Rattus norvegicus: one gene and its partners. The protein of the gene in region 1 purifies or fractionates together with the protein of each later gene. This does not show direct contact. Links are inferred from orthologs where the notes say so. Each region holds a gene or a part of one and is shown in the gene's direction. Other genes may lie near its edges.

Region 1 (3,387 bases):
ACATATCAATCAAAAAGACCAACACATCACCATAAGAAGTCTAACAGAGAAGCCGAGGAGAGGGGGAAGAGTTCTCCTGGTCCACAATAACATGGGTGTCTACCACTTTCCAGGACCCAGAGAAGGGGCCTGTCCCCACCTTCCAGCCGTTCCAGAGGAGCATGTCTGCTGACGAGGACCTACAGGAGGTAATGGTTTCTGTGGGGCTGGGATCGGGGGCAAGAGACCCACATATTGTGCACCCACTCCGGTGCCTGGGAGTTATTTTAATTGTTCTCTGTCCTTTCTTTTCCCCCAGCCATCCAGACGGCCCCAAAGGAAATCTCTGTATGAAAGGTTAGAGAGCATCGTTTGGTATGGGGCCAAAGGCCAGCGTGACTGGAAAGTTCAGGGCTAGAGTGGAAGGGGCCAGCTGCAGAGACATGGTTGACTACGCAAGGTCTGGAGGAAGGTGGAATCCCCTTTGATCCTCACCGTAATCTTCCTCTCCCCAGCTTTGTGTCTTCTAGTGATCGGCTTCGGGAACTGGGACAAGATGGAGAAGAAGCAGAGGCCCCTGGGGCTGGTGAAGGCCCACCTCGAGGTTTTGACTGGAGCTATGAAGAACACAGCGGTGCCCGATCCTCAGCCTCCCCTCCCCGAAGCCGCAGCCGGGACAGAAGTCATGATCGGAGCCGAGATAGGGACCGGGACAAAGAACGAGACAGAGACCGGGATCGAGACAGAGAACGGGACAAAGACAAAGACAGAGACCGGGACCGGGACAGAGACAAAGAGCGGGACAGAGACAGGGACCGGGAGCGAGACCGAGAGGGCCCTTTCCGTAGTGAGTGGTCTTGGCCAGGGTTTAGGTGGGTCACGCTAAGTAGAAGGTGATGTGGACTCGGTAATGACTATGGTTCCTAACCCACAGGGTCAGACTCATTCCCCGAACGGAGGGCCCCTCGAAAGGGGAACACTCTGTATGTGTATGGAGAGGACATGACGCCCACCCTCCTCCGAGGGGCCTTCTCTCCCTTTGGAAATATCATCGACCTCTCCATGGACCCACCCAGAAAGTAAGGATTGAGCATCCTGGGAAGGAGCCGCTTGGTGTGCAGCATGGGGGTCACTGGGTCCGTGGAGCCCCATGGAGCCCCCTGACTCTGCCTTCTCTCACCCAGCTGTGCCTTCGTCACCTACGAGAAGATGGAGTCAGCAGATCAGGCTGTTGCTGAGGTTGGGACTTCTCAGACCGCTCCTCCCACCCTCCTGTCATCCTCCTGCTTCTTCCTAACAATGCCTGCTCCTAGAGGAAACTTTCCTCCTGACCAAGAAAACCTGCATCCTCACATGCCTGTTTGGTCTCCTCCCAGGGTGGCAGCAACTGGCTCCATGTAATACCCATCCTCTGTCCCCTCCCCTCTTGTCCCACAGCTCAATGGGACCCAGGTGGAATCTGTGCAGCTCAAAGTCAACATAGCCCGAAAACAGCCCATGCTGGACGCTGCTACTGGCAAATCTGTCTGGGGCTCCCTTGGTAAGGATGAGGCCCTCCCTCCCCCTCCTGCAGCACAGCTTTTCCTGTTCCCTCTACAGCTTTGAGTGGCCTAAAGTGCCAAAGGTCAGGGTCTTCACATAGGCAGAGGATGGAGAATTGCCAGGGTATCTGTCAGGTGAGGGAAGGAGAACAGCGTTAAAAGGTTCCCTTTTCAGTTCAGGACAGCCAGGGTTGCACAGAGAAATCTTGTTTTGAAAAGCCATTTATTTAAGGGGCTGGGGATTTATCTCAGTGGTAGAGCGCTTGCCTAGCAACCGCAAGGCCCTGGGTTCGGTCCCCAGCTCCGAAAAGAAAAAAAAAACAAAAAACAAAAACAAAAACCAGGGTCCCCCAGTAGTGAGCGTCACAGACAGGAAAGTAGGAGCCAGTGTGTCCTCTGAGCTGGAGCACTGTCTGGACCTGGTACTGTGGGTCTGGACCTCAGGTGGAAGCCAGGCATGGAGGTGTAGATCAGTTCTGTTGCATCTGGACCCATCAGAGATGGGATTTTGGAGAAATAAAAGTGACCCGTGGTGGGTTTAGAGAACCAAAAACGCTAGGAAGCCGGGCTCTGCTGTCTGCCGAGCATACCTCCAGCTTGCTAGGCCCAGTGGAGCCTGCGGCAAGGGAACCGTGAGAAGGGTCCAAGCCAAGAGCAGCCCCAGAAGCTTTGGGCTCTGAGAAGGATGTAAGACCAAAGAGGAGGCTGCCTCTCAGCCCCACAGGGAGTCCTGGGGCAGGAGAGGAGGACGAGGAAAGAAACGCTGAGCACTCTGGTTCACAGAGGTCCCCATGGGTGGGATTTCTCAGTGTGGGGAGCCCATTCTGCCTGAAACAGATTTTTCTGGAGAAGAAGTAAGCACAGTAGACACCAGGAGGAGCCAGCGTTGCCCAGCGGGCAAGGCCACAGGCGTTCTGATCTTTTCATTTGCACAGATCTCAGGGTTTAACTCTCTGGGTTTTCTAAGCCAGGGTGAGACTGTGGCCACCAGAGGGCAGAGTAAGCCCTGGTGGACCAGGGCCAGGGCTCTGGACCCCAGGTCTAATGGAAGCGGCCACTGCTTCAGACCTTAACTGTCACTTTCCTCCCTCCTTAGCTGTCCAGAACAGCCCCAAGGGTTGCCACCGGGACAAGAGGACCCAGATTGTGTACAGTGACGATCTATAGGAAACCTTGTGGATGGCTTCTAGGACATGAAGCTGGATTCCTTGTGCCTCATATGCCCCCAAGCTGGTCTCAGTAAAATCCTGGGGTAGAAGCTTTTCACCTCTGTCAGCCTCTAGTCTTTGAGCACTTGGGATTGGAGTTGAGCCTTCAAAAGCAGCTGTCAGTGTTGTTAACCAGTGCACGCCCCACTCCCTTACCCCAAAAAGATGTGGAACACACTTTGTATTTGTATTGTAGCTGCTTTAATCTGCCCTCACCCTCCCAGCAGGAAGCTCCTTATAAGAAACCCAAGTCCTCGTCTTTGAGCTTCTCCTTTAGCCAGGGCAGCACCTGGAAGAGATTGATGTGGAAGTCCCGGGCATAGGAGGGCACCAACTGTTGCCGCCTCGGGTCTTTGCAGACATCCACTACTCCCCAGCTGATCACACCAACCTGTGTAGATAAGGAGGGCCATGGTCACTTGACACTTCATAACCCCAGAAAGCTTCTGAGCTGGCCTAAAGAAGTGCACTGGGAGCCAGCTCCTCTCTCTTCTATGGTGCACATAACCTGGCTTTCACTGGCCAGTTAAGAACAGATGAGGTGGGCCCGTTCTGCCACCTTTATCAGCCGTGCACATCAAGCTTCCTTTTTTGTGACACCTGAGCATCTCCCCAATGGACTGGAAAAGGGACCACTCACTTGAATGAAGCGGCTTCTC
Region 2 (4,358 bases), on another chromosome or scaffold:
GTGGTGGTGGTGGCGGCTTGTTAGTAGTGATGCTCAAAGAAAAAACAAGAAGAAATCAGATTCAGGGATCTCTATCCCCCCCATCCTAATTTATCTAGTGATAGAGAAACAGTGATAAGAGGTGAAACAGATGGGGGTGGTGGTGAAGGATAGGAAAAAGAACCCACAGAGTAGCAAAAACCTACTCCAAGTACTTAAAGCCTCAGCAAAGACCACTACACTACAGCTGTCACCAAATGCTGGATCCCTGAGGTTTCCAACCCCTTGAATCGGGCAACTCCATGATCTCTTCTCTGTTAGTAACTCTTTAGAGCACTTTAGGAAGTGGTCTTGTGAGTCTTACACCTTTCCCTGGTACATTTAGTTACCATCCTAAGTCTTTTTTTTTTTTTTTTTTTGGTTCTTTTTTTTCGGAGCTGGGGACCGAACCCAGGGCCTCGAGCTTCCTAGGCAAGCGCTCTACCACTGAGCTAAATCCCCAACCCCACCATCCTAAGTCTTAAGAGCTGTTTTCCTCTCTTCATGAAGTAACATTTCATTAGGAGAAAGCAATATACATTTATATATTCTCATTCTGTGGCTCAAAAGGGACTGTAACTGGCGGCAATCCTCCTGTCTTAGTTCCCTGATTTCCAGGGATTACAGACATGAACCATGACTCTCAGAATACTTAATGTTTTAGAAGATGGGTTTTACTATTTTGCACAAGATGGCCTCTACCTCCTGCGCCCAACTGATCCTTCTCAATCTCACGAGTATCTGTGTCCAAGAAGTACCCTACTGCCACTTTTGCTGTCATTGCCCTGGGCTTTAATCCTAGTAGTTGGGAGACAGAGGTAGGTGGATCTCTGAATTTGAGGCCAGCTTGCTCTACAGAGTGAGTTCGAAGGACAGACATTGTCTACATTGTCAAGTGTTCTGATAAAGATACACTACAGGGTGAATTTAGGCTTCTCAGCAGACGCAGAGTATCAGCCTTTGAAGGACTGTACTTCGAACTACTTTGCAGTTCTCCTGATGATTAAACCGCAGGCATCTCACACTCGGAACGGACCTGTGCGCGGACCCGAGGCAGCATTGTCTGCTGGACAAGGGGAAGAGCATCAGGCTTGTGGAGAACGTGGTTAGTACCCTCTTCAGACCTTTATCCACTGGGCAGCATACCGGGAAACCGAACAGTCGCACCTCACTCTGGGCGATGCATCTCTAGGGCACACGGATGCGACACAACACAATGTCGGGCTACGTCATTGCCCGGCGCCCTAGTGGGTGCCGCCATCATGCGTTACGGAAACCCACAGTCCTTTTCGCGGAGACTCATCGCTCACTCCCGTTCTTGCGCCTCGGCTCGTAGCCTCCAGAAGGCGGGGCCATTTGCAATTGTATTTGTCTGTCACTCGAGGCCCCGCCCCACGCCAACGGGTGCCGCCATGTTGGGGGTCCTCGCTGGGGACACGTAGGCGTCCGCGTAAGATGCCGGCCGACGCGCGCTGCCGCCGCCAAGATGGCTTCCATGCGGGAGAGCGACACGGGCCTGTGGCTGCACAACAAACTGGGCGCCACGGACGAGCTGTGGGCGCCACCCAGCATCGCGTCCCTGCTCACCGCTGCGGTCATCGATAACATCCGCCTCTGCTTCCACCGCCTCTCATCGGCTGTGAAGCTCAAGCTGCTGCTCGGGACGCTGCATCTTCCGCGCCGCACGGTGGATGAGGTGAGGACGCAGGCCAGCCTCTCTCCGGCCGGAGCACCGCTCCTGCCTCCCGCCAGCACCTGAGCCGTACCTTGCCCTTCTCCCGCCGGCCCCGCTCAGCTCCGTGTCCGCGCCGTTGGTCTTGCCCACCCGGCCCCAACACCTTAGTACCTCCAGCCGCTGGACGCTGTCTGCGTTCGGGGGTCGTGGGGCCATGGCCACAACAACCCTCAACCAGGCCGGCCCCTCCCGGAGTGCTGGACACTGCAGTTCCGAAGCTCCTTTTGGTTCGGGACTGTCAGTGCAACTTTCCATGTGACTGCTGACCTTAATTTTGTTGCTTTTGCCTTACCAAGTATCAGTCTACTTGGCTTCATCTCTATTCTGTGGCTTCTTTTCAGTGCATTCTTGTTCCACATTGTATCTGTCTGTCTAACATATACGATATTTTGCAAATACATACACAGATAATGTGTATAGAGTGCCACTGTGTAGCCCAGGTTGATCTCAAACTTAGGGTTCTCCAGCCTCAATCTCTGGAGGGTTGGGATTGCAGGTCTGGGCCACCACATCTCATAGCAAAAAACACCGAAGTGCCTTAGTTTTAAACACTTCCAGTTATTATTTTTATATCATTATATCATTTTTACATCATTTGTTTTTGTTGCAGCGCTATATCGTGTACACAGAACTGCATCTTTATTCAGTTTAACAAATACTGATAATTAAATGACCCACTCCCGTTACCTCCACACAAGAAAACAAGGCTGGACCCTCCAAAGCACCTCCCTTCTTCTCTCTTTCCCGCAGGAAGTTTTTTGGTTTGTTTTTGTTTGGTTTGTTTTTTGAATTTACCATGTTATATTCATTCTCCAAGTGGTGTGGGTGTGTCTTCTGTTGATAGGCACCTGGAACAGATTCATCCAAGTTATTGCAGACAGAGTTTAATTTACTCTGCATTATGGGATTCCGTTCTTCAAGCCTCTCTTTCCCTGTGGTAGGTGGCTGTTTGGCCTTGTTCAGGAAGTACTCCAATTTTGAGGGGAGAGGGAGGCACCTGTGGTCTCTCAGCACTTACTATCTCTCTCTCGTTCTTCAGTCTGCCATTGACTGGGACTGATGGTTGTGAAACTGAGTTCAGTTTTACAAATGGCTGTGTGATGGTCCAGCACCACCTGACAGTCTTTTTCTGTCCTGTTGCTTCTGCCTCCCTGTCTGTCTGTCTGTCTGTCTGTCTGTCTGTCTCTCTCTCTCTCTCTCTCTCTCTCTCTCTCTCTCTCTCTTTTGTCATTTGTGTGTCTTGCTAATAACCAGCCAATAACCAGCCAAGCTACTTACTGTCACTTTATTGTTAGTGTGTTTTGATGTGTGACGTACTGGGCAAACCCTTTGCTTAATCTTCAGGAATAGTTTCAGCTTTTCTTGGCCCCTGGCACTCCTGTCTGTCAGTCTGTGTCTTAGTGTGTGTCATTTTTGTGTTTACATGTTCATTTATGTGTACACATCTCTGCAAGTATCTGTGAGGCCAGGGTCCGGCTTAGGTGTCTACCTCAGCTGCTCTTTATTTATTTATTTATTTATTTATTTTTTGGTTCTTTTTTTCGGAGCTGGGGACCGAACCCAGGGCCTTGCGCTTCCTAGGCAAGCGCTCTACCACTGAGCTAAATCCCCAACTCCTCAGCTGCTCTTTCGTTGTGAGACATTTTCATTGACTCTGGAGCTAACCAGCATGCCCCATCTCAATCTCTAGCATTGTATGTACCGACTGAGAAGGCTTTTTATATGAATATGGAGATCTGAACTTAGATCTTCAGACTTGACTTGGGAAACACTCTATCAACTGAGCCATGTCCTCAACTCATTGTGTAAATAAAATAGTCTCCATTATTAGTTGCTTTTTAGTAAGTGTTTGTTGCAGTTTTCCTCTTAACTCAGCTAGCTCCCATTTATTTAATCAGTTCTAAGGGCACAACAACTGAGCAGTATTACTCCATTTTAATCTTCTAAACTAATCTGGCTACCCCCTAGCCAAAATCCCTGAGATACTTGCATTTTAGTACTAATCTGGTTCTCTGGGCTCCAGGTCTGATCTCATGAAGCCTCCTGGACTCCCCATAGCAACTTCCCACTTCCTCTCTCTCTTTTCCCTTCCCTCCCTTCTCCTACTCGGTCATTTGCTGATCAGCTTTTATTGACAAATCAGAGAACAAATGGGGAGCAATGTTTATACAACATCGAGGAAGGAGATTCTTAGAATAAGAATTACAACCAATGTGGGGGGGGCATAGAAATTAGCATTTGAATAATACATGGATAATATCGACATAGTGCACAATAACATTATGCCTACACTTAACCTAGAGGTTTGGGGAGTTAGAACTGTTAAGTTCTGTGGTTATCCTATATTCATACATGTCTTTTTTTTTTTTTTTTTGCTAATGGTATATAGAAATACTCTAAGTAAGGATTGAAGAGCACCTGTGCTGAGAGCAGCCTGTAACTGTTTCGGTGTAATCAGGGTCTGTTGGTTCCTTTTTGTTTTACCTTATGCTCACTGTCTACTTGTACTGTTGACCTCCCTACTATAGTGTCCTGGATTTGCCTGTTCTCCTTCCCAGCTGTTGCTTTGAGCATTTTGAGTTCCTATCATAGGAATGCTGTCATT
Region 3 (4,230 bases), on another chromosome or scaffold:
CTGAACTGAAAACACCTTTGTCCATTGAGTGGAGATATGTAAAATAGCCCCCTCCACCATCCGCAAAGAAGTCTTTCGGAGTTGTCTCCAGTGCAGCAGGCTCCAGCCTGAACATATCCCTGTCCCCGGCAGAAACCTTCCTCCTGCTGGGCCACCTGTGAGTGTACAGACTGGAAGTCTAGGTAGCTTCTTACCAGACCATGCCCTGCCTGTTCCCCTCTCCCCTCCTGCCCTGCAGCTCCGGTCTCCTTACGCCCCTCCCCCTCGGGTGTAGCAAACGGCTAGACATTCCAGATATATCAAGCAAACAAAAATCCAGATGAACTTTTATAATAACTAAGACCCGCTAACTCCCCACCAACTCTGTAATGCTTCAATACTCCATTGGACTAAATCCTTGCAAGGGGTTGTCAACTCTGGTGGCTCCGGCGTCAACTAAAATGCAAGGTGCCACCAGCTCCTGTGGTGGACTTTCTTTGCCAGGTTGTTTGAAATGGTAAGACAGCCCCTGAGCACCTTGGGAAAGTTTCTTCTGTTATTACAGAGTATTTGCTTCGGTTGCCTAGCATCATTGCGCTGTGGCAAGGATTCGTGGAGCTCCAGGTGTTATCAATGATCCAGGCACTTAGGAGTTATTCAACAAACACTTGTCGAGTGATGGTAGGGAGGAGTAAAATGGCATCTCAGCGCCTGTTATCAGTGCCTGATGACTGTACTTCGTGGCTCTTTTCTCTAGCCTCTCCTCATTGTCTGCATCCAGAGGCCACCGTACTAACCTCAGTGGTGATTTGGGGTCACCTGCTAGGTAGCCTCTCCAGTTATTTTCAGCTTAGGTGTTCAGTGGGTCCTCTTTCCAGGGCCCAGACATGGCTTTAGTAGGGCCTCCTCCACTGGAAGTACGTTTTATATCTCGCTGTGCACTGCATCGAGTAATTTTTGCCCACGGTGAAAAAAATCAGGACATTTCTGAGAGCCTGAGACTCAATGGATGCCTAGCTCGGCTGGTAGCTGCACCGGAGAGGCAAAGCTAAGCTCACTGAAAGTTTCGAAGTCTTTATAGCAACTTGAAGCCAGCTTGCACTTCCGAGTGAGACCCTGTCTTAAAAAGGAAAATAAAAAGCTGTCCTGGAAGTTTTCTACTTAGATGTAAAGCTCTGAGACGTACAGTCTTGCTCTTGAGAAATCCTACAAGGTGTTCCCCCTCCACCGAGAAGGCCAAAGCATGGGCCACGCCCCCGTGTAACCACGCCCCTTGCCAACTCCGCCTCTCCAGCCTTGCCTGAGGCCCAGAACCGCGCGTGCGCCCTTTCATTTGTTGTGTCCGCGCACGCGCAGTGAAGTCGCGGCAAATATGGCGGGTCCAGCGCCGGGTACGATTATGGGAGAAGACTACTTCGGGAATGCGTCTGAGTGGGGTGAAGAGGCGGACGGCGGCCAGGTGAGAAGGCAGTAGGCGTTCCGCCAGGAAGCCGGGTCTCTGCCCTGTCCTCGCGGCTCCTGCGCCGGCCAGAACCGGGTACAGGGGGGCGTCAACACTTGACTCCCTGACCTCCGACCCCGGACCCTAGCAAGGCGGGCCTTGGAGCCGCACTGAGGGGCTTCTGGCGGGTCCTGCCCCATTAGAGACCTCAGTTTTCCATGCACTCCGATTTACAGTGACACCTGGGGCTGACCTCTCTGCCAGGTAGGAGCCATGGTACCTCCTGGCCGGAGGGGCAGAACAGACTCCAAGGAAGAAGAGGGACACAGTGACACAGTGAACAAACTCTAACTCCAAACTCCAGCAGCATCCCGAGGGAGGGAAAACACTCTCTGGGGCTGGACAATCCAAACTCTCTTTTCACTTTTGGATGATTTCATCCATCCTTAGAATACAGGACTTAAGATCTTGTAGCCCTGACTGTCCAGGGTTTGGGTGAGAGATGGGGAACTGGCACCATTCAGTGTCCCAAAAAACATCAGGGTTAGGAAATCAGAGACCCATCCAGGTGTATGATTGACTTAAGCCTCCCATGCTCTTCTGGACAGTGTGCGGGGACCCCGGACTGTTTGCCTTTTCTACAGGAAGCAAGATGAACTTTGAATGAATATAGGATGCAGTGGGGTATACCAGTGGAGTGGTCTGTGGTGGTGCAGTGAGGGCCGTGGAGGAAAAGTGAGAGGTTTCCGGAACTGAGGGAAGTCCTCTGTGGTTGGCTGGCTGATTGGTTGGTTGGTTGCTGGACCGGGAGCTGTCAGTCATCAGCGCAGCCTCCCTGGAGCCTGTAGATTTGCTGACCAGTACAACTTAAGACCCTGGGGGTTGGGGATTTAGCTCAGTGGTAGAGCGCTTGCCTACCAAGCGCAAGGCCCTGGGTTCGGTCCCCAGCTCCGAAAAAAAAAAAAAAAAGAAAAGAAAAGACTCTGGGCGTCCTACATCACTTGGAAACTCAGTGGCAGATATATGGAGTTGGATTTAGCGAACTTGGATGTCGGGCTAAGTGCTTTTGTGTAATAGCTCATTCTAGGCCCTAGAGCAGCAGTTCTCGGCCGGTGGGCCATGACCCCTCTGGGGGTCAACTGGTAGCAAATCGGATATCCTGCATATTTACTTTACAATTCATAACAGTAGCAAAATGCAGTTGTGAAGTAGAGACGAAAGTAATATTATGGGTGGGGTTCCCCACAACATGAAGAACTGTGTTGAGGGGTTGCAGCATTAGGAAGGTTGAGAACCTCTGCTCTAGAGTTCCCATTGAGTGTTAATTAGTAAGTCAGGCAAAAAGACTCAGTACCTTGCCCAGGGCCATAATGGAGGAAGGAAGGAAGACTCAAAATGACATCTGTCGTGTCTGTCCTGCCACACAAACACCAGGCCCTAAGTTCAGAAACTGGCGGCAGCCCTTGTCTGTAACCCAGCACTGGGAAATCCCTGGAGCTCCCTCGACAGCCAGTGGGACCTCGTCAGTGAGAACTTCAAAAATGGGGGTGTGGAGAGAGATACCCAACCTCGACCTCTAACATCTACACACAGACAGTGTACACACAGGAACACCTCAGGAGACCACATGGGCACGAGACAGTACACTGCAGATTAGCTTGGTGGTTGTTGTCTGTGTTTATGTTTTGTGACTGTGGAGGGTTAGGCGTGGCCTGGACTAGAGTCCACTGAATTTCAGTCTGAATGGCTGTGGTTTGACCTGTTGACCCTAACGCGATCTCCCCAATGAGAGTGATGAGCTATCGGAGTGTGAAACCTGCGACTTAGGTGTCCTGAGTAACCGAGTGTGGTTCAGCAGTTGGGAATGTGGTAGTGTGAAAATACTGGACACCCCTGCACACACACACTTTCTTCATCTCTGTTCTCTGACTGTACTTGAAGGGGGCGAAAGTCCAGAGGGATGGAGGATGGAGCCTTGAGCTGGGTCCACCTTCCCTGGTGTGGGGACAGGAAGAGGTGTAGGGAGCGTACAGTGCCGATAAGTCCGGATGATGGAAGCTGAGAGCAGTTGACTTATAGACACGTAAATGAGTTGGCCGCAGGTTGTACACGGAGCTGAGACTGCACAGGTAAGCAGGGCAGAGTTACTCTAGAGCTTGGGATTCTTTTCCTCGCTGAGGGAAACAGGAAACTAAGCAGCTAGGTCAGATTTGTGACTTAATGAGGGTAGCATAGATGTGAAAGGTGATTTCGTGGGGCGACAGATTGAGGCGTGTGGAGGTGTTGCTGCGGGAAGCATACAAGAAAGAAGAGGAGAGAACCTGGACCCTCATAAGGGAGATGGAATGCGGGGGATGGGGCCTGCCTCCAGCAGGAAGTAGGAGGAAGGTGAGAGGACACATCCAAGGTTTCTGGGTGGCTCATGGATGATTAGAGGAGTCCTTTATTGAAGTATCTGTTTCCAGACAAAGACAGGGTCAGTTGAACTTGCAGAGTTCAGAGTCCTGCTAGAATATGGAGTGGAAAGAAGAGTGTTGCCTGCTTGAATCTGATGTGGTCAAGACAGGTCCAGCCAGGTGAAGCTGTAGACAGGGGAGTAGCTTCCTGGCCTGGTATGTCAGAGAAATATTGTTGGTGGGCAACAGGGTCGAAACCTAGTGATGCAGACACGTGAGCGACTCCCAGGGTGAAGGGCAGCCTCTGTGAGCACCCTTTACAGGTTCAGTCTCAGAGAATAAACCCCCGTCAGTCGTCAGAGTGAAGTTGGTGGACTCTGCTCCTAGCACATTGCTTTCAGAGAGTGCGGACCA

The links. Proteins that work in one complex are often made in the same cells at the same time.
Region 2: the proteins of Nelfe (region 1) and Nelfa purify together in Homo sapiens (affinity purification with mass spectrometry; 9 studies listed by BioGRID and IntAct, counting the BioPlex papers as one, with this or other methods). This does not show direct contact. The link is inferred for Rattus norvegicus from reciprocal best matches to the Homo sapiens genes NELFE and NELFA.
Region 3: the proteins of Nelfe (region 1) and Nelfcd purify together in Homo sapiens (affinity purification with mass spectrometry; 9 studies listed by BioGRID and IntAct, counting the BioPlex papers as one, with this or other methods). This does not show direct contact. The link is inferred for Rattus norvegicus from reciprocal best matches to the Homo sapiens genes NELFE and NELFCD.

Annotation. Positions count from the first base shown.
Region 1 is NC_086038.1:3,980,658-3,984,044, reverse strand, and holds the end of Nelfe (negative elongation factor E), read left to right. Parts: intron 1-113; coding exon 114-188; intron 189-298; coding exon 299-336; intron 337-494; coding exon 495-826; intron 827-913; coding exon 914-1,058; intron 1,059-1,163; coding exon 1,164-1,218; intron 1,219-1,416; coding exon 1,417-1,519; intron 1,520-2,616; coding exon 2,617-2,687; 3' UTR 2,688-2,784; downstream 2,785-3,387. Other genes in the region: Cfb (complement factor B precursor), read right to left, coding at 2,964-3,119, 3,369-3,387. UniProt on the Homo sapiens protein: Essential component of the NELF complex, a complex that negatively regulates the elongation of transcription by RNA polymerase II.
Region 2 is NC_086032.1:81,032,025-81,036,382, forward strand, and holds the start of Nelfa (negative elongation factor A), read left to right. Parts: upstream 1-1,445; 5' UTR 1,446-1,504; coding exon 1,505-1,714; intron 1,715-4,358. UniProt on the Homo sapiens protein: Essential component of the NELF complex, a complex that negatively regulates the elongation of transcription by RNA polymerase II.
Region 3 is NC_086021.1:183,630,651-183,634,880, forward strand, and holds the start of Nelfcd (negative elongation factor C/D), read left to right. Parts: upstream 1-1,317; 5' UTR 1,318-1,351; coding exon 1,352-1,438; intron 1,439-4,230. UniProt on the Homo sapiens protein: Essential component of the NELF complex, a complex that negatively regulates the elongation of transcription by RNA polymerase II.